Linked DNA regions of Lepisosteus oculatus. The protein of the gene in region 1 interacts with the protein of each later gene in a biochemical or structural test. Links are inferred from orthologs where the notes say so. Each region holds a gene or a part of one and is shown in the gene's direction. Other genes may lie near its edges.

The links. The genes of interacting proteins can lie anywhere in the genome.
Region 2: the proteins of myh9a (region 1) and protein S100-P interact in a biophysical measurement, tested with the Homo sapiens proteins (2 studies listed by IntAct). The link is inferred for Lepisosteus oculatus from reciprocal best matches to the Homo sapiens genes MYH9 and S100P.

Annotation. Positions count from the first base shown.
Region 1 is NC_090707.1:39,741,917-39,752,483, reverse strand, and holds the start of myh9a (myosin-9), read left to right. Parts: upstream 1-5,836; 5' UTR 5,837-5,926; intron 5,927-10,567. UniProt on the Homo sapiens protein: Cellular myosin that appears to play a role in cytokinesis, cell shape, and specialized functions such as secretion and capping. Required for cortical actin clearance prior to oocyte exocytosis. Promotes cell motility in conjunction with S100A4.
Region 2 is NC_090696.1:42,546,930-42,556,269, reverse strand, and holds protein S100-P, read left to right. Parts: upstream 1-5,420; 5' UTR 5,421-5,461; coding exon 5,462-5,599; intron 5,600-6,408; coding exon 6,409-6,537; 3' UTR 6,538-6,661; downstream 6,662-9,340.

The DNA of each region.
Region 1 (10,567 bases):
CCTCCTGCACACTACTGTACACTGACACTGCACTGAGAGAGAGAGAGAGGGGTTAATACACACACTCCTCCTGCACACTACTGTACACTGACACTGCACTGAGAGAGAGAGGGGTTAATACACACACTCCTCCTGCACACTACTGTACACTGACACTGCACTGAGAGAGAGGGGTTAATACACACACTCCTCCTGCACACTACTGTACACTGACACTGCACTGAGAGAGAGAGAGGGGTTAATACACACACTCCTCCTGCAGTAAGAGGTGTCAGTCCTCTCCTGACTCTGTTTCCTCTCAGGGTAGATATAGCTCTTCCCTCTCTGTTGTTGTTGTGTAATTAACATTCCTTTCTAATGAGAGGGAATGTTCTCATTGATCCCTGGTGGCATTTCATTCTCTTTCACTGCTTCTAACACAATATTCTGCCAACGCAGGCGGCTGTAAGAGCAGAGACACACCTTCCCTGCACTTCGAGCTGAATCCTCTCTCTCTGCCCAGGTGTGCGCTGTTCTGCTCCAGAGGAGGGCAGATGGCTGAGGAATGTGAAGCTGCCAGAGTAACTTTACACCCCTTCCGCTGAGACAAAAGAGCGGCCCGCCCCTCCCCCTCTCGAGCAGGGCGCCGCTCTGTTACCATATAAGGAAGAAAAGAGAGTCCTGCCAGCGAGCTGCCGCGCTGCTGCTCTGCTGGGGAGTGTGGCGCGGGGCTGTGAGTCGTGTACCTGTCAGCCTCGCGTCAGGCAGGAAGGGACTCGGGGCCCAGACCGCGCAGGACTGGGAGGTACAATAGTGTGCAGGAGGAGTGCTCTGGCAGGGCCCGAGCGCCGCACAGGGACTCCGCTCAGACATGAAACAGTTCAGACATGAAACCTTTGCCCTGACAAGGTACAGGCTGGGGGAGGGGTGTGCCCCCCCCTTTCCCCTGCATTCCTGAGCATTGTGAGTCAACACCCCCCTCCCTCTTCCTGTCCTGCAGCCGGGGAGAGGGGAGAGGGTGACCGCAGAGCTCTGCATCTGCACTGGACTGGTATCTGTCTCCTCGGGGATAATTCTCAGTCTGCTTGATCATGGGGAGATTTATCCCTGCACATACTCTGACTTTATAAGCTCTGCATCTGTAATCATATTGAAAACTGATGTGTAAATAAGGCAGCAAGCGACAGGAGCCCAATCAGCCATCTTTCTTCTTTAGTACTTTAGTCATGTATATAAGTGTCCAGAGTTTGGGTCTCAACCACATAGCTAGTAAGCCTGTCTCAGACACCCACAACTCTTTGTGTTAAGAAGTGTTTTTTGTTATCCAGCTTAAATAACATCTCCAGTTTCTGTATGGGCTGTTGTGGGCTGAAGAGACAGAGCTCCTGTACCCTGTCTGTACAGGACAATCCCTCACAACAGGATCCCCATCCGTCATCTTCATCACACCAGTGAGCACTCAGACCTGCAAGGTGCCCCTCTCTCAGACCCGAGAGTATCATCATGACTTGCTGTCCCAGTCCTGTCACAGAGGGCAATCGCAGCCTGTAGGAGCATCAGGCTCAGCAGGTTGGTCCGTCCCATCGAGTGGCTGATGAGAGGAAGTTTCCTCAGTGTTTCAGTCTTTCATATAAGAAATATCACATATCACAAATATTCTCCTGCTGAATGAGCTTTTGCACAGGTCCTGTTCACTCTAGTGGGCTTCTGTGCTTCCATTCCCTCAGCCTGGCACCAGCGAGAGAGCAAGGAAGTGAGAGAGGAAGACAGGGCTAAGAAAGACAGGAGCAGAGAGAGAGACAGGGGCAGAGAGAGACAGGAGCAGAGAGAAAGACAGGAGCAGGGAGAGAGACGAGCAGGGAGAGAGAAAAGTGGCAGAGAGAGAGACGGGTAGAGAGAGAGACAGGGGCAGAGAGAGAGACAGGATCAGGGAGAGAGACAGGGGAAGAGAGAGAGACGGGCAGGGAGAGAGACAGGGGCAGAGAGAGACAAGTGCAACGGGTGATGGGCCGAATTAGGCCAGTACCCACTATTGATAAACATACAGAAAACAGTATTAAAGTATTGGCTACACCTAAAAAACAGCGACCAAAATTCCTACCACCACAAAGCCACCACAACCCAGACCCAAGCACATCACAGCACAGATCAAACAGCAATATCTCACACACTGGGACACACACACAGCATAAACTGGAATGCTACAGAACCCTAAACAGACAATACACACTAGCTGAATATATGACCAACATAAGAAACAACAAAAAGAAACAGACCCTGACGAAGTACAGGCTCAGTGACCACAGCCTGGCCATAGAAACTGGGCGACACAGGCAGACCTGGCTGCCCAGAGAGGACAGGCTCAGTGACCACAGCCTGGCCAGAGACACTGGACACAGACAGACCTGTCTGCCCAGAGAGGACAGGCTGTGCTCCCACTGCCAGCGGGGAGAAATAGAGACAGAGGTGCACTTCCTACTGCACTGTGACAGATACTCTGGGATTAGAGACACATTCTTCCCGAAATTCAGAAATCTCATCCCAGAGTTCCCACACCTGCCAGAATCACAATGGGTCCCAATCCTACTGGGAGAGGGAGGAGGGAACTCAGTTGATCTGGCAGCCCAGTATGTGATCTCCTGTCACAGCCTGAGGAACAGTGAGTCTGTCTCCCAATAATGCTCCATCTGTCTACAGTAGATGTAAATATTTTATGATATGTGTTTGTTGTAAATGTTTGTAATGTCTGTAGACTTTATTTTACTTTTATTTTCTGTTTTGTTTCATGTGAATTTTTATTTGCTTTAGCAACACTGATTGTACCCATCGGTCACACTAATAAAGCACCTTGAATTGAAAAAAAATTGAATTGAAATTGACAGGAGCAGAAAGAGAGACGGGCAGGGAGAGAGAAAAGTGGCAGAGAGAGAGACAAGGCAGAGAGAGAGACGGGCAGGGAGAGAGACAAGGGGCAGAGAGAGAGACGGGGCAGAGAGAGAGATGGGGCAGGGAGAGAGATGGGGCAGGGAGAGAGAGATGGGCAGGGAAGGAGACAAGGGGCAGAGAGAAATGGGCAGAGGGAGACAGAAGCAGAGAGAGAGACAGGGCAGAGACAAGGACGGACAGAGAAAGACAGAGAGAGAGACAGGGAAAGAGAGAAAGACAGAAGCAGAGAGAGGAAGACAGGGACAGAGAGAGATGAGCACAGAATATGATACCTTTTCTAACAACATTGCCTCATCTGTCTCTCAAATCCAAATAGTTTTATTGACATTAAAGGTTAATCACAGTTAATAGCAATTAGTTAATAACAGTTAGTAACAATTTTTACAACAAAAACACATTATTAGACTTTTCCATCCATCCATTTTCTAATCGTTATATCCAGCGCAGGTTTGCGGGGGGCCGAGTGAGGCACGCTGTGGGCGCAAGGTAGGACACCAGTCCATCACGGGGCACACAGACACCCCAGGGCACATTTCCCAGAAGACAATCAACCCTCCAGTATGTCTTTAGATTGTGAGAGAGGAGGAAACCGGAGCACCCAGAGGAAACTCGCAAACACAGGGAGAACATACAAACTCCATGCCGACAGCACCCCAGGAATTTCCAACATGAACTATTAGAGTCTCACTGTCTGTTCCTCAGGCTGGGACAGGAGATCACACACTGTATTATTATTATTGAGAGACAGGCTCACTGTCTGTTCCTCAGGCTGGGACAGGAGATCACACACTGTATTATTATTATTGAGAGACAGGCTCACTGTCTATTCCTCAGGCTGGGACAGGAGATCACACACTGTATTATTATTGAGAGACAGGCTCACTGTCTGTTCCTCAGACATATTCCAGATTTACAACAAAGACATATCATCAAATATTTACATATACTGTTAACAAATGGAGCATTATTGGGAGACAGGCTCACTGTTCCTCAGGCTGTGACAGGATATCACATACTGGGCTGCCAGTTCAATTGAGTTCCCTCCTCCCTCTTCCAGTAGGATTGGGACCCATTGTGATTCTGGCAGGTGTGGAAACTCTGGGACTAGATTTCTGAGTTTAGGGAAGAATGTTTCTCTAATTCCAGAGTATCTGTCACAGTGCAGTAGGAAGTGCACCTCTGTCTCTATTTCTCCCCGCTGGCAGTGGGAGCACAGCCTGTCCTCTCTGGGCAGACAGGTCTGCCTGTGTCGCCCAGTTTCTATGGCCAGGTTGTGGTCACTGAGCCTGTACTTCATCAGGGTCTGTTTCTTTTTGTTGTTTCTTATCTTGGTCAAATATTCAGCTAGTGTGTATTGTCTGTTTAGGGTTCTGTAGCATTCCAGTTTGTTGTTTGTGTGTGTGTGTCCCAGTGTGTGAGATGTTGCTGTTTGATCTGTGCTGTGATGTGCTTGGGTCTGAGTTGTGGTGCTCTAGCAGTGCCGTCCTGAGACTGGCTGGTGTCGGTGTGGCTCAGGACCAGCTGGCTCAGGGGGCTCTGTTTTGGGCTCAGCTCTTGGCTCAGCAGGGCTTTGTGGTGGTAGGAATTTTGGTCGCTGTTTTTTAGGTGTAGCCAATACACTCTCTCACTCTCTCAGATACACTCTCTGTCTCAGTCACACACTGTCTCAGACACATGCTCACTCTCTCACTCTCACAGACATGCTCAGTTTGTGTTGAGCAGCTGTTAATTTAGAAACACCAATCAACGCTGAACACCATGAATTTGGATACATTTTGAGCTGGCCAGCTATCTGTGTGGAGTTTGCATGTTCTTCTCCATGTGCAGGTTTGCTCCAAGTGTCCAGAGTCAGCTTGGGTAAGAGGGGTGCCAGTCTGTGTGTCCCCAATCGCCCATACTGGCATGTACTGTGGCACTGGCCCCTGGGCTGGCCTCAGCCTGTTCCAGAGCCTGCTGAGGTCAGAGCCAGAGCAAAGGGCTGGCTCTCGCGGGGCACCAGGCCTGACTCACCGGCCTCAGACAGCAGAAGGACACAGGTACCAGCGCAGGGGAGGCACCTGCTGAAACAGCCATCTATCCCGGCGCAGGAGAAGATTCACAGCTCAACTCTCCCAGCAGTCTCTGGAGCTCTGCAGAGGGGGGGATACCCACTGCAACAGACAACCCAGCCAAATAATTACAGACCAGTATGTCTGCCTTCTGTGGCATATAAAGTAATGGAAACAATAATCAGAAGACAACCAGGGGATCATCAGTATTAAAAAGAACATCCTAGTCAATGTGGATTTTAAAAAGACAGATCTCTTTAACTACCGTGTACCTTGATCAGCAGGAAACAGAGCGAGCGCCACTGGGCATTCAGATCTTCAGAAGGCTACTGACAATGTTGCTGCCAACAGATGTACTGTCAGGTGTGTCCGGTCGTGACCACGAGGAGGACCTTCCTCTGTCGGAGTGTTGTTAAATGGGACATGATTAGAAATGCGATCAACGCAGATACGGAGGCGGCCAGCTTCTCTAACATTTTAGCGCTCACGGGACTCGAGGGTGACTAATTACTGTGGAAGCAGGCAGGAAAGGTGTCTGCAGGGAGATGTTTGATGCCGCTGGCAGTCATACTTATATGGTAATAAACTTATCCCGCACATACCTCTCTAATTAAACACTTAGCGCTGCCTCCGAGCCCCGGGAGCAGCACCCTCAAGCCACGCCCCCATGCCGCTCCGCCACTGGCCGGTCCGGCCCAGATTGGCCTGCTCCGATTGGGCGGGGGGCGTGGCTGGGAGCCTGGCCCCGCCCCGCAGCCGCGCCCTGCCCGGTCCCAGCCAGTCTGCGCGGAAGCAGCCGCTCAGGCCGAGAGGAGACAAGCGCTCGCTGCTACTGCGCGTTTCCACCGAGCTGCACGACAACTGCTTTCTCGCCGCCGAGCTGGGACAGCGGGACGGGGAGCCGACCGAGTTCAGAAGGGTTTCAGACGATTCTCTGTTCGTCGTTGGCCCAGGTAAAGTGCCCTCTGTCAGCCTCAGCCGGACCAGGAACTTCGTGCTCTTGCGCTTCGTCACCGGCGGCTGAGCGGGCGTGGGGCGCTGCCGTGCTCGGGCTCCTACAGGAAGTGCGCCGGGAGGGAGCCGGGGTCCAACTCGTACGGGTCGCGCACGCCGGGTTAGTGGAGTCCTGCGGCTGCTGGGCTTGGGGGTGTTTCCGGGGTCGCGGTGGGTCTGTTTCCCGGGCTGCCGGCTGCTCCGACGGTCTCCGGGGCGGGAGGGACGGAGAGACACGGGCCCCCGAGCTGTCAGGGTCAGGACCGGGTCACTCGGGCCGGGAGCGGGCTTGTCTGGTCTCTTTCTGCTCACGCCCTGCAGAAACGCGCGTGTTTTAGGACCTGCACCCTCACCGCCAGCTCAGGTGAAACAGCGACACGCCGCCGCAGTGCGGCTCCAGTCCGGGTTTTCCTGGCGCCCGGGCTGAGCGGGTGACACTCGTGCCGTGGGGTGTGGAGACCTGGGAGCAGCAGCCGCACCCTCACCTCTCCGGGATGATCTCATCCACCGAGGAAGTGGCGCTGGCCACGGCGCGAGCCGCGACTGGGAGGGCTGGTGGGCGAGCTCGCGGCCGGTCCACGGCACGCCGTGGCGGTTCCCAGCCCGGTCTGATTCGGGTCCGGGGTCCTGCCTCCGAAGGAAATTTCTTATCGCGAGCCCGGGAGGCTCATTTCCGGCCGGTCTCGCCTGAGCCTAATCTTTCCACGGGCGTGGGGGGGAATCGCGTGGAACAATTAGGGGGACGGGTCGACCGGGACCGGCGGTGTCTGGAGTCTGAGGTCGGGGTCAGGGGTTCAGATACAACCGTTTTGTCACAGAATATTTATGGGTCCTGGTTTCACCCTGTGCTGGGTGCTGGAGACATCCTGCGGTTCTTGGCACTGTAGTGTTTGGACTGGGCCTCCCCAGAACTGCCCTGCCTGACGTCTCTGCGTGGTCTCGGGCTGTGGGAGTCTGTTAGTGTACCTGGCCTCTGGCAACGATGTCACTTCCTCCCTGTGCTCTGAGTGTGATGTCACTTCCTGTCTCTGTGCTGGAGCTCTCAGGCACCTGGGCGGATGTGGACACGCGTCCGACAACAGGAAGTTGAGGTGCGATGCTGCACCAAGCAGCCAAAAGTGTTCTGTCTCACCAGGCTTGCAGACGGCCCAGGGGGGAGAGAGGGGTTTGGGTTGAGGGGGTTTGGGGAGACATTGAGGGGGGCAGTGAGGGTGAGAGGGACAGTGAGGGGTTTGGGGTGAGGAGGGGTGTTTATAGCGAGGGTGTTGTCAGGCTCGGGTGAGGGTCACTGTGGGGGTGAATCTGTTCTGCGGAGCAGTGGCAGGAGAGGGGTTGCAGGTTTTCTCACCAGTGTCTCTGTGACTGAGGCGCATGTGCACAGTGCCCCTGGTGGCGCCCCCTGCGGGTCAAGGAGGGGGTTACAGTAGGTGAGCACGGTCTCATCTGTGCTGGGCAGATGGGCTCCCAGACACCTGGAGTCCATCTCGGCTTTTCTCAGCAGCTGAGAGCTCCTGAGTCCGTTCTGGTGGAGCAGAAAAGCAGCCGTTTCTGTTCCTGAACCGCGGTTCCTTCAGGTGCCTGTTCGAGGGCCTGCGGCGGGTGGTAAAACCCGGGGTGGATCTGGATCTGGCTGCAGGGACACTGCAGTCACGTCCTGTGAAACTGTGGCTGAGCAGCGCTGGCGGTGCCACCAGACAGCCAGGTGACCTGGGTCTACCGATCCAAGGGAGGAGAAGAGCCGGCAGCGGGCGGAGGAGTGTGGCTCTTCCGTACCCCAGTAGCGGTCCTGCTGTGCGACGCTCGGGGCCAAGCCCCGGGTGTGTGTGCGTGCTCTGCTGTGTGTGGAATTGGGCAGCTGTGTCGCAGTCTTGGTTGTGGCCTGTGTGTGCTGGAGGGGAGGTATTCGTGGTGGCTCTGACCCTGGCGCTGGGCAGTCTGAGGCAGGGGGGGTGCCCTTAGCACAGAGCTCTCGTGTCTCTCCTCGTACACTGGCCTGCCTGCCGCCGTCTCTCTGTCCTGGAGACCCGGTCAGTGTCCGGAACGGGACAGAGGACAAGAGCGCAGGTGCAGTTCTGCCCTGGACTGTGTGGGTGTGGCCGATAACGAGATTGCAGGAGCTGCTGGCTCCCTGTGCTGACTTGTCCTCGAGCTCGGCAGACATTCCTGCTCTGTGCACTCCGTCAGGAATGAGCTGCTCTTCTCGTTGCCTGGGGACCCGCTGACTGCTCACTTCCTGTTGGGAAGTTTTCCCTGTATCCTTATCTGTATCCCTTATCTCCCTGTGTGGCTGTGGGCTATCGAGGGGCGGAGACGCTGGTGGCCAGCAGTCCTGATGATTTGTCTGCTGAGCAGGGTACTGGCAGTGTCAGCGGTTCTGCTGCAGGACAGCCCAGTGGCAGCAATTATGTACCTCTTAGTTCACTGGCTGACTGGTCAGCAGAAGCTCTTCCTGGAGTGTCCAATGGGGGGCGCTCACAGGCTGTATCCTTCCTCCAGTGCTGCTGCTGCTGTCTCAGTGTCCTCTGAATGAATGCAAATGAGGCTCCAGCCACATAGTGTGAGGGCCGGTGTTTTAATGGTGTTGAGCAGCTGCTTGCTCAGCAGTGGGCCCAGTGGGGTGTGTTGTCAGCCTGGGCTGTGCCCTGTGATCCCAGAACCGGTGCTCGATCAGCAGCAGCCTGTGCCTGTGTGAAGAAGAGAGCTCTGAGGGTGTATCCGCCTGTGAGCAAGGGAGTGTGTCACACAGCAGAGAGAATGAGCCAGGTCTGCTGTGACTTTCAGCTGCAGGGCTCACGGTCTGGCCTGATGCTGGTCTCTGCCTGTGCTGACAGCAGCTGCATTTCTGGAATTCTCTCCTTATCCATTAGCGAGTGGAATGGTAGGAATGTGTCCCAGAGGACAGGGGAAACAGAAGGCAGCCCGGGTCGGTGCAGAAGGGCCTGGATTGGATCAGGGCCTCTCTGCTGCCCTGCGGTGTGGGTACTGTTCTCAGGGTGGAGGTGTGATGAGCACTGTGTTCAGGGTAGAGGTGTGTACTTTGGGGAGCACTGAGTTTAGGGTAGGGGTGTGTGTACTTTGGGGAGTGCTGTGTTCAGGGTGGGCGTGGGAAGCACTGACTTCTTCAGCTGTGGGGTCACAGGGGTCATGGGAAACTGGAAAGGGAGAAGAGCTCTCATCTCCAGACTCGGTGAGCTCTGTTGCAGTGACCAGTGAGTAAGTACTGCTAATCAACAACATAAATCCTGTTAGTTATTTCCATCCATATCTGAAAAAAACATCCGAGACTGGCTCTCTGCTCCTTAGGCTGTGGCAGGAGATTGCATACTGGGCACAGGGTGTGGTCCTGCAGTCCTCCAGTTTGTGTCTCTCTCCCAGTGGGGGAGGCAGTGCTGGTCAGTGTGTGTTGTTTGTGTGCGTGTGTCCCAGTGGGAGAGGCAGTGCTGGTCAGTGTGTGTGTGTTTGTGTGCGTGTGTCCCAGTGGGAGAGGCAGTGCTGGTCAGTGTGTGTGTGTTTGTGTGTGTGTGTCCCAGTGGGGGAGGCAGTGCTGTGTGTGTTGTGCTGTGTGGTGGGTGTTGCTGTAGCTGGTTGCTGTCAGTGAGCTTCAGGACCAGCTGGCTGAGGGCTCTTCTCTGGGCTCAGCTCTGGCTCAGCAGGGTCTTGTGATGCTGGGAGCTCTGCTCACTGGTTCTCAGGGGTGACCAGTATTTTCTTGCAGTCTTCTGTATGTTGGTCAGCAGTGGGTATCTGCCTATTCAGCCCAGGATTTGTTTCTGTCTCTATCCTTATTCTGGTAGAGCAACTGCCCTGTCCTTATCTGCAGGAATCAGAGTAGTTAATAGGCAGAGCAGCAATTTATCCCTCCACACGCACATGCACAGACATGCGCAAAGACACGCACACACCCTTTCCTGTTGTTCAGCACTCCTGACAGACGGCGGGGGGAGGGAAAAAGGCTGAATCTTTGTATTTAGCAACAGTGTGACCTGGTGTGGTCTTTGTACAGATTAGATCTCTCTCTTCTTGCCTCTGGGTTTATTGGTCTCTCTTTCCTGAGCCTATAAAATTCTTTAAGTTCATCCTGAGCCTGTTTCTTTCAGATTTTTTAAATTCAAGCAGGTTTATTGGCATGACTGATGAATTTCAGTGTTGCCAAAGCAGATACAATTAACACAACATCTACAGATGTTGACAATACAAACACATCTCGGGACACTTACATACAACATATAGAACATTACACACTATATTATTATTATTGAGAGACAGACTCACTGTTCCTCAGGCTGGGACAGGAGATCACACACTGTATTATTTTTATTGAGAGACAGGCTCACTGTCTGTTCCTAAGGCTGGGACAGGAGATCACACACTGTATTATTATTATTGAGAGACAGGCTCACTGTCTGTTCCTCAGGCTGGGACAGGAGATCACACACTGTACATGGAGGATGTTGTTTTCAGAACTCTGTGCACAAGGCTTGTATGAGTTGTCACAGTGTAATCCTGGTCTCTGAGTGGACCAGACTCTTCACTGCTGTATAGGGCAATGGGTTGGATTACACTTTCAAATATTTGCAGCCAGATTTTTATGGGGGGGTTGA
Region 2 (9,340 bases), on another chromosome or scaffold:
TGTAACAGTTCACACTGGAAAGCCGTGAAAGAAGCAAAACAAAAAGTAAAAAAAATGAAAACAATTACTATGTACTGAAGCCACCGTAGTAGCAGTTAAAAAGAAACTAATCCAATATCCAGTCTGAAAACTGTTGGAATGTTCGTTTCACAAGAAGTACTTTAATTGGAGAACCACCAAATAAAGCCGTTCATCTTGAAGTCCTTCGGAAGGAATGACCATGCAGGTATCACATGCTACTGATAACAGTAAAGTGACAGTTCAAAGAAATAGGAAGAATGGTGAGTGGTTCAATAACATTATGCTGGGAAAAGCTTCTGTTACGGAAAGGAAAATCACTGACTTAATGTGCTGAATAAATAAATGAACACAGGAGTTTGCCCTCGGAAAACAACTTTCTCTTCTTTTGTGCAAGTGTTTTTGTTCACACCTTATAGTGCATATTAATAGTCATGTATATTAGCATATGACAACCATATGAGACTTCAAGCCTTTTCACGTTTTCTCTTTTTGCTCACAATGTTGTGTTTTATTCTCATTCATTGCTGTAATAATCTGTTTCTCGCTTCTAGGGTAAAAATCCACCCCAAAGAATTGGGTGAGCTGTGGAAACTTAGAAAGTCTCTTATAGGTCAGCAACAGGAAATGGAAATATGGTGTGACATTTTAAAAGCAATCATTATAATGACTTTCTGTTGAGGATGTGGCTTTCACTTTTGTTGCTTTATTACTTTTTGACAGTCAATTTAGAATGCTTCTAGAGCAAGAAAGAAAGATTTAATTTCATTATATGGACAAAATGTGGACAACAACTTACACTTACTACTTACTACTTACAGAACACCATGTCTTACAGCCGATCTGAATCTAACAAGAATTGTTTCACAAAAATTAATATTCTGCTTTCCTTGGGTAAAGTGTCAGTCACATTAATTGTGTGCTTTGTAATTTCAAACATTCATCTTCTTCTATGCTCTTTTGGAGTGAGCGGTAGTCTTAAGAAAAAAATAGACAATCTGAGTGAAGGAGATTGCTTCGGAATACAACAGCAGAGTCCCAACCGAGGTTTGAGCCCACAAAAACACCCTTCTGAGTCTCTTTATGTGGATGTGATGCTGGATGAATCACTCAAATGTGGGCAAAGGTCGAAAGTATACCATGAACTAACTGAACACACCTACAGCTAATGATCCCACATGGACTCTTACGCAGTGTACTTAGGGCTGGCAGAGCTCAAGATATCAGTACAAATGCACATTAATGTTTAATCAAACAAGAGCATAATAGCAAATGCCTCTACTTTGCACTTAGTTCATAGTTCAATGAAACAATGAATCACAAGGTGTGACTCTCAGACAACTTCAGGCTCTTTTAGTCTCTTTTAGTCTAAACATCTGCCAGAATTTGGAGAAACTGTAATTTTGTATTTATATACAAATTTATATAATTATTTTATTTTGAGTGTTAATATACTTTTTAAAGTTCTACAAAGTATTGTATATGAACTAATTTGATCAAACAACCATATTCATTTTTTTAACAGCGAGCATTGTGACTTTCAAACTTTTCTCATACGGTAACAATATTTTGCTTTTAAAAATAAAATGTTACACAGAAAACTCCTGGAGAATTAGGTTTGTTTTATTGGTCAAAACCCACTTATTTTCTGAAATAAAATATTGTTAACAGTTTTGGTTTACAGTTATTCTTAACTTAAATGTGATTATGAAACTGTTGAACAAACTGAAGTTTATGAGAAACAACAGGAAATAGGTGAAAAGTTTGATAGCAAGAAAGTGTCATCAAGACAGGAAATTTATCTTTGTCTTTAAAAAAGATAATTCTCTTGACTTTCTTTCAGTTCTTATTGTTTTGTCTTTTATGTAAAGAAATCTGTTCAAATTAAAATCCAGATATGACATCATATCTTTGAAATACTATTTTTTAACATATTTTATATATACTTACTGTACAGTCATAGACAAAATGATGCAACCAACCATTAAACTATCTAAACACAAACATAAATAATCATTCTTATCCTGCATTTAGAGGCAACGCAACATAAAAATAAAACAGGTTAGTGCCTTATATATTGTTATCAGTTCTGCATTCCCGAAGAATCCAGTTATGGAAAACTCACATTATAGTAGCCATTGACTCAATGGGAACTAAAGGGTTAAAGAGGGAAGTTTTTGAGAAACCACTATCGTGAATTCCACCACTGTGAAAGCAATGGAGATGAAGAGTGGGTTTTAGAGTTTAAAAAGTTTTAGGGTGAAAAACGTCATCAATTTTCTAAATTGAAATAGAGATCCACCCTGCAGGGTACACACTGACACAAACACAGACACACTCATACCAGAGCCATTTTTTCCAGAAGCCAATCAACCTATCAGTATGTTTTCGGACTGTGAAAAAAATGGGAGCCCTAGTTTACACAAAACATTGTAAGAGTATGAGACAAGCTACAGTACAAAGAAAAAGTCTGTTAACTCTCTAGGCGGGACCCATATTCTTCGACTTTTTAGGTTGAAAACATAACTAGATTTTAGTCAAAGCCTTAAGAAAATATTAAGATAACTTGATTAAACATAAAACACACCAAAAAAAATTATATCTGGACTATTAATAAAATGATCCAATAGTGAATATCCTCATGTGAATAAGTAGGTGAATCCTTAGATTGAGTTGCTGAGTCATTGAAAATAACAAACGTTCTCAGTTACTTTTTGAAAGGACTACGAGAGATTTCAGTTACCATTCACAGAAAAACAATCTGAAATATCAGATAAGGTATCATATCAGCCTGATAGACTAATGAAGAGATTAGTCCTTCTCCATCCATCTGATGGAGAGGCCTGTGGCCATATAAAGCTCAAAAACTGTATTAGTGCCATTTGCTAGACAGTGCTTCTGATGTCTGTTTCACACAAATTTACAAATATAGGGACGTGTAAGAGTGACCTATTCTGACACCTCAGAAACCACAGAAGCACTACATTTATTAAATAAGATCTATATTTATTTGCCATATACAATTTCTTGCTTTAGGAATTTGTCTTATTGCATATCCCAGCTTGCCCTCCATGAGACACACAAACAGGGAGAGAGAAGGTTGGGGTCAGAGCACAGGGTCAGCCATTTACACAGCACCCTTGGAGCAGTTGGGATTAAGGGCCTTGCTGAGGGGCCCAGTAGAGGAGGATTCCTCTGCCAACCACAGGATTTGAACCAGCAACCTTTCACCCACAGGTACAGATCCTAAGCCACAGCGCCACCGCTCCACCATGTGTTTATGCATACAATGGTATGCACAGAAGTTGTGCAAGAACTCCTAGGAGTTTATTTTTATGTTAACCAAGAACATGATTTAACTGGCTGAAGCCCTAACCGAAACAATAACTTGATTTGACCTCTTAGTGTAGTTCAAGTGTATTTTATATAGTCCAAATGCAATAAAACTACGTGGAAGTGCATTTAAAACAGAACAGGAGACATTTATTTACATAGAGGATTGTGACAGTATGGAACAAGCTACCCAGCTATGTTTTTGAAGCCAATATCCAAGAAACAGCCGGATGAGATACTTGGATCAATTAACTACCACAGAGTTTGGTGGGCCATGTAGCCTCCACTCCATATAGCCTCCTCCTGTAATATTTTTTATGTTCTTAAAAGAGCTTTTCCCAACCATCATAGTCCTGCTCCTTAAGTTACTAAGCAAACTGAGAACTACTACTTGACAATTCTTGGTCATGGTCAGTTAGTGACAGATTTGATGTTTCAGTACAAAAAAATAGGAACTGCATTATGATGGCACATTACTGTCATTGTCCATCTACTACTGTATCAACAGATTCTGGAGGTATTTCCAGCTGAAAAAAGTATGCAAAATCAACCTAGTCAGTAAAACTACAAACCCAGATCTTCAGACAACTAAGAGCTGTTGGTATCTACAGTACAGGAACTCTTGCAATGGTAATATCCTTTGTCTGCAATGCATTCCAGTTCGTTAGATATTAGTAAAGCCCAATGTTTTTGTGTCTCATCTGGCCCAAATTAGGAAACCATGGGTTTAGTAGTACAAAGACATGAGGAGCCACTTTTGACCATTCTTTCCTGTCAATACAGTGTAATTTTTCTTAACTTTCAGTGTCATTCTGTGATTTTGTGTTGTTGATAGACAACCACTCACATTGATTTTAAACCTGTATTCCACTGCTCTGATACAGTTAGCAGTGCATATGTCATGTCATTTGCCAAACTGCTTTATAACATATGGTGTCGTGCCTACACAGCAAGCAATGAGCACAAGGCAGGGTACACCCTGGACGGGGTGCCAGTCCATCGCAGGAAAAGTGCAAGCCAATCATACCTATCAATGGGGACAATCAAAGCCAATCAATGGGGACAATTTGGATGCCACAGTAAAGGCAGAGGGGGGAAATTTGGCCCGGACAATGGGATAACTCCCTACTCTTATAAAAAAAACCCGGGGATCTTTAATGACCACTGAGGGTCAGAACCTCGGTCTAACGTCTCATTTGAAAGACAGCGTCCACTACAGTATAGTGTCCCCAGCACTATACCAGGGCATTAGGACCCACACAGACCACGGGACAGGCACCCCCCACTGGTCCCACTGATACCACATCCAGCAGCAACCATAGCTTACCAGGAGGTCTCCTATCCAGGTGCTGACCAGGCTCAATCCCGCTTATCTTCAGTGAATAGCCAGTTGAGAGCTGCAGGGTGATATGGCTGTTGTCTCAGTGTATCTTTGAGCAATGAAAGCCAAAGATAAATAATCCCTTGACCTGAGAATGGATGGTGAATATACCTATACTCTTTACAAAATGATTTTGCCTATTTTGCTAAAATATCTTGCCAGCTTATGGTGGACACACCAGGTATTGATCACATAGGTGTGCTTGACTTGAATGTACCATATACCTAATCACATGTGACCATTAGACCTTTCTTTGCACATTGCAAGCTTGAGAAAAGAAAAAGCACATGGATTTATACGATATGTGTCTCCATTGTCAAGTAGGCCTGCCAATAAGCGGTCACCTAAAAAGTACAAATAGAAGTATAAAAAAACTGTAAATACTATTGCTATACTATAGCTTTGGTTGCCTAGTTACATATTTATCTTACGTGGGAGGAAATAAAATTCTGAAAGGAGAGAGATAAACAGCTGTTGACACAGTTATTATTTTCCTATTATTCCTATTATTTTCACTTCTAATATTATCAGGCCACAGCCCTCTGGTGGCTAATACATACTATTTGCTCCCAGATAAAAAGTGACTGATACAACAAATAGCAATTGGCTGTAGAAACCCATATACTGCGTGTATATAAGTCCTCTTTGCTTCATTCTGTACGTTCACTACTAAGTCATACTTCTGAGGTGCAGGAGTCCCACAGTTTGTAGCAGAAGAAGCTAGTCACCATGTCTCAGCTGGAGAATGCCATGGCGATGATAATGCAAGTGTTTGACAAGTATGCCAGTACTGATGGCAAGAAGCAGACTCTGACCAAGGCTGAGCTGAAGACAATGATGGAGAAGGAGCTTCCAGCATTTCTGAAGGTGTGTGAGTGATGAGTTAATTTCTCCTGGTCTTCATGGTGAACAGTGTTGCCTCCACAGCTTCGATCACTTAGTATTATTTTTGTATTCCTTGGAAATCCCTGAGCAAAGGGTTAATTTTGTAAGTCAAGTGCTTCCTGTGACACTCTTTTCTTTGATTCTTCCAACAATAATATAAATGTTTATGTTGGGTCATCAATCAGTTTATGTTGATATCAATTTTGTAAGGTGATGTTACATACAGCACATTTTCAATGAACTGTTTTATCTTACAGACAACTTCTAAATATCTCTAAATACGCTTTTTTTTTCAAATACATGAGATCTCTTCACTCAGAGACCAGACATTTAAACTTTCCTTTGGGTTTTTTTATTATTCAATATAATAGTTCTTAATCCTGGATTTTTATATTGCAAATACCCCTTTTAAGAGCCTATCAGCAAAATTATTTGATACAAGAGCTGGATACATTCTGTTTTAGATTTTGTCAGGTGACTAGAAAATATATTGAGAATTTAATACAAAGGGCCTAGTATTAGTAAAAATTTGTCACATATTTTCCAGTTCCATTGTGTTTCTGAAGTCCTGACAGATTCGTCCTTAAACTACAGTTCTTAATCAGTATCAGTAAAAGAGTCTTCCAACTGACAACACTGTATAATTTCCTTTTCCAGTACTTAAGCAGATGAGAATTATAAACAACATGATTTACATGATGGAATGGAAATGCAATCTGAATTTAGAATTTAGACACAAAAAATGTGAATAAATGATTACACAAAAACATTGATCTCCTATCTGATTGCAGGCTGCCAAGAACCAGGATGAGGCTGACAAGCTGATGAAGGCCCTGGATCACAACGGAGACTCAGAGGTGGACTTCAACGAGTTTGTCATCCTCGTGGCAGCTCTGACCTGCGCCTGTCACAACCGCTGACCTAGACTCCTCGCAAAACATCGACTGCAACCTGATTGGCAGTTTTTTTACACATTTGTAACAGTGCTCTTAAAAAAGTCAATTGTTTACATAAAATGTAATGAGAATGTTTAATAAAAGTAAAAAAAATGTGAGAACTGATAAATCTTTCTTTTCCCTTTTGAAGTATGAAATCCTACACTGATGCAGTAGATAGTTTATGCTTTGGCTAAATCATTTGCACTTCATGACTTGAGCTCGGTTGAACATTCATGAAGTGACAACCCGCTCACCGAGCACAAACTTCGAGCCTACTGTAGTTCTGAAAGATGAGATTTTGCATGATAGAGCTTTCTTTCTTTTAGCCGATGGAAGACTCCCATGATTTTAAGGGATTCCGAGTCATGGTAAAAGCTGAATCGAAGTTTCAAATGGGCAAAGCTGGTCCTGCACACACGCACACATTTGAAATGCTGTTTATATAGGCGTATTTGAACTGAAACAATGCCATTTCAGTTATTCGGCTAGATCCTAATAAAGACGAGAGAGACTAGATTCTCAGAGTGTATTTGGCGTAGCTCGACTGGTGGAAGAAAAATTTCTTCCTTACCAAAGAATGTGGCTGCCCAGACCACCTCCCTCGGTATTGTGAGGATTGAGCCAAGGAATTGTTGCTGCAGGGGTGTAGATGGGATAGGTTGTGGGGGTTATAAAAAAAATTGTGCTACGGGAATCCTCAGTCACACACAGACGTGAAGAAATGGGAGATTAGTATTTTAGCTTGAATTTCTATTCTAACTTGGCTATAATTCAATTTTCTGAAATTATGTTAGCACACTTACCACACCTAATTATTTTGATTATCCTACCATAAGTGTGGATTTATTCTATTTTACACTTTATTTTCTTAAGCCGAACAAAAATTTCAATTGTATTGCACTATTTGGGTGAAAAACAACAAGAAGAGTTGAGGGAGGAATCCAATCAACCCATCTTGCTCATTTGGTAGTTTGAGTAGGTAGATGCATCAGCATGCGTAGGCTGCAAAAGAGCAAGTAATTGGTGTATTCCACACTGAAAAGAGAAGAAAGAAAACATAACGTTTCGGCTGTGAAGCCTTCTTCAGTGTGTGAGAAAGACAGGGCAGACAGCAAAGATTAAATAGCATAGGAGAACAAAAGCTGGGAGAGTGGAGGAGGCGAGAGTGTTTTACAAGGAGTGCAGAGAAACAAGTGCAGCTGCTCTTTTGGCCTGACTTTATGAGATCCCAGATGGCAAGCAAGGCTGGGCCTGGTCAGCGCTGCAATGTCAGACTTCTAAAAAACATGCTGCTGCTATAAGAGGTGTTAGTGGACCAGTAGGAAGTGCTGTTCTCTCTAGACCACAATTTCCAAACCAATACACCAGAAGGGGTAGGAAAGACACTGGGCAGCTGGAGGTGCCATCTTTCAGATTTCATTCACATCTAATTCTCAGCTGAGGTCTGAGTTCATGTGCGACAGAAGTGCTCTGTGGTGAAATGCCTCTGTCACAGGTGAAACTCTTCTGGGCAACTAAAGGATGTAAACAAAGGTGTTACACAATATTTTCTTCCTCTGCCCTAGGTGAAACGTGTGCCTTTCAGCCTTGTTTCCATCATCAAATCATTGCAATCCAAATCAAAAGAACTTCAAGTCAGTACTCAGTTACTGTCGTTGTCTTGTATGCCATGTGTTTGACTAGAGAAATGTGCCCAGATTATATGTGATGTGAATATACAAAAACACAGCTCTGATCAATAATGGTTCATTGAGAATTAGAACCTTGTTATTTAATAATCACTAATTAAAGAAGGCAACGCTTGTAGAGTTAATTACCAAATACAGCTGATGTCGAAGTTCTTGAACTATGGCCATAATAATAATAATAATAATAATAATAATAATAATAATAATAATAAACTTTATTTTATATAGCGCCTTTAAAGGTGGCTTCTCAAAGCGCTTTACAGAATGACAACAACAATAAATAAAAAGAATACACAAGATAAAACACAATTACAATTACAATATACAGAGGAGACCGTGATACTTAGAAATGCAGAGTGGTGAAGAATGGAACCAGTCTTGGGGGACAGTTAGACCAGAATTAGAAGAATTAGGATTAGAAGATCGAAGGTTGTGAGGTGGGGATTAGGGTGATAATAGTTCAGACAGGTACTGAGGTGCTAAGCCATACAGAGCCTTTTAGGTGAGCATGAGGATTTTAAAGTCTACACTGAATTTGACAGGAAGCCAGTGCAAGGACTCCAGGATAGAAGTAATGTGATCACTTGCACTAGACCTGGTCAGGATTCTGGCTGCTGAATTTTGGACATACTGCAGTTTTAGATACCCCAGTGAGTAGAGCATTACAATAGTAATGTGTTGATCAGCTTTTAAGCAACACAGTTAGTGATCCCATAGGGCATAGTCTAGCGATATTTCTGAGGTGAAAAAAATATGTTTTGACAATATGCCGCACATCTAGGTTGAATGGGGGGTGCCAAAAGGCATGACTTCAGTCTTGTCATAGTTAAGATGAAGGAAATTTTGAGTCATCCAAGTTTTTATGTCAGAGATGCAATTAGATAGAATATAGACAGCCACATCAGTGTCAGGTTTGGTATGGATGTATATTTGAGTATCATCAGCATAGAAATGATAGCTGAGGCCATGTGATCTTAAAAGTTGACCATGTGGAAACATGTAAATTCTGAATATTGAGCCCTAAGGTACACCAGACTTAACAAGACCAATTTCAGACCTAAACCCATTAAGAGAGACAAAGTGACAGCGATCAGTGA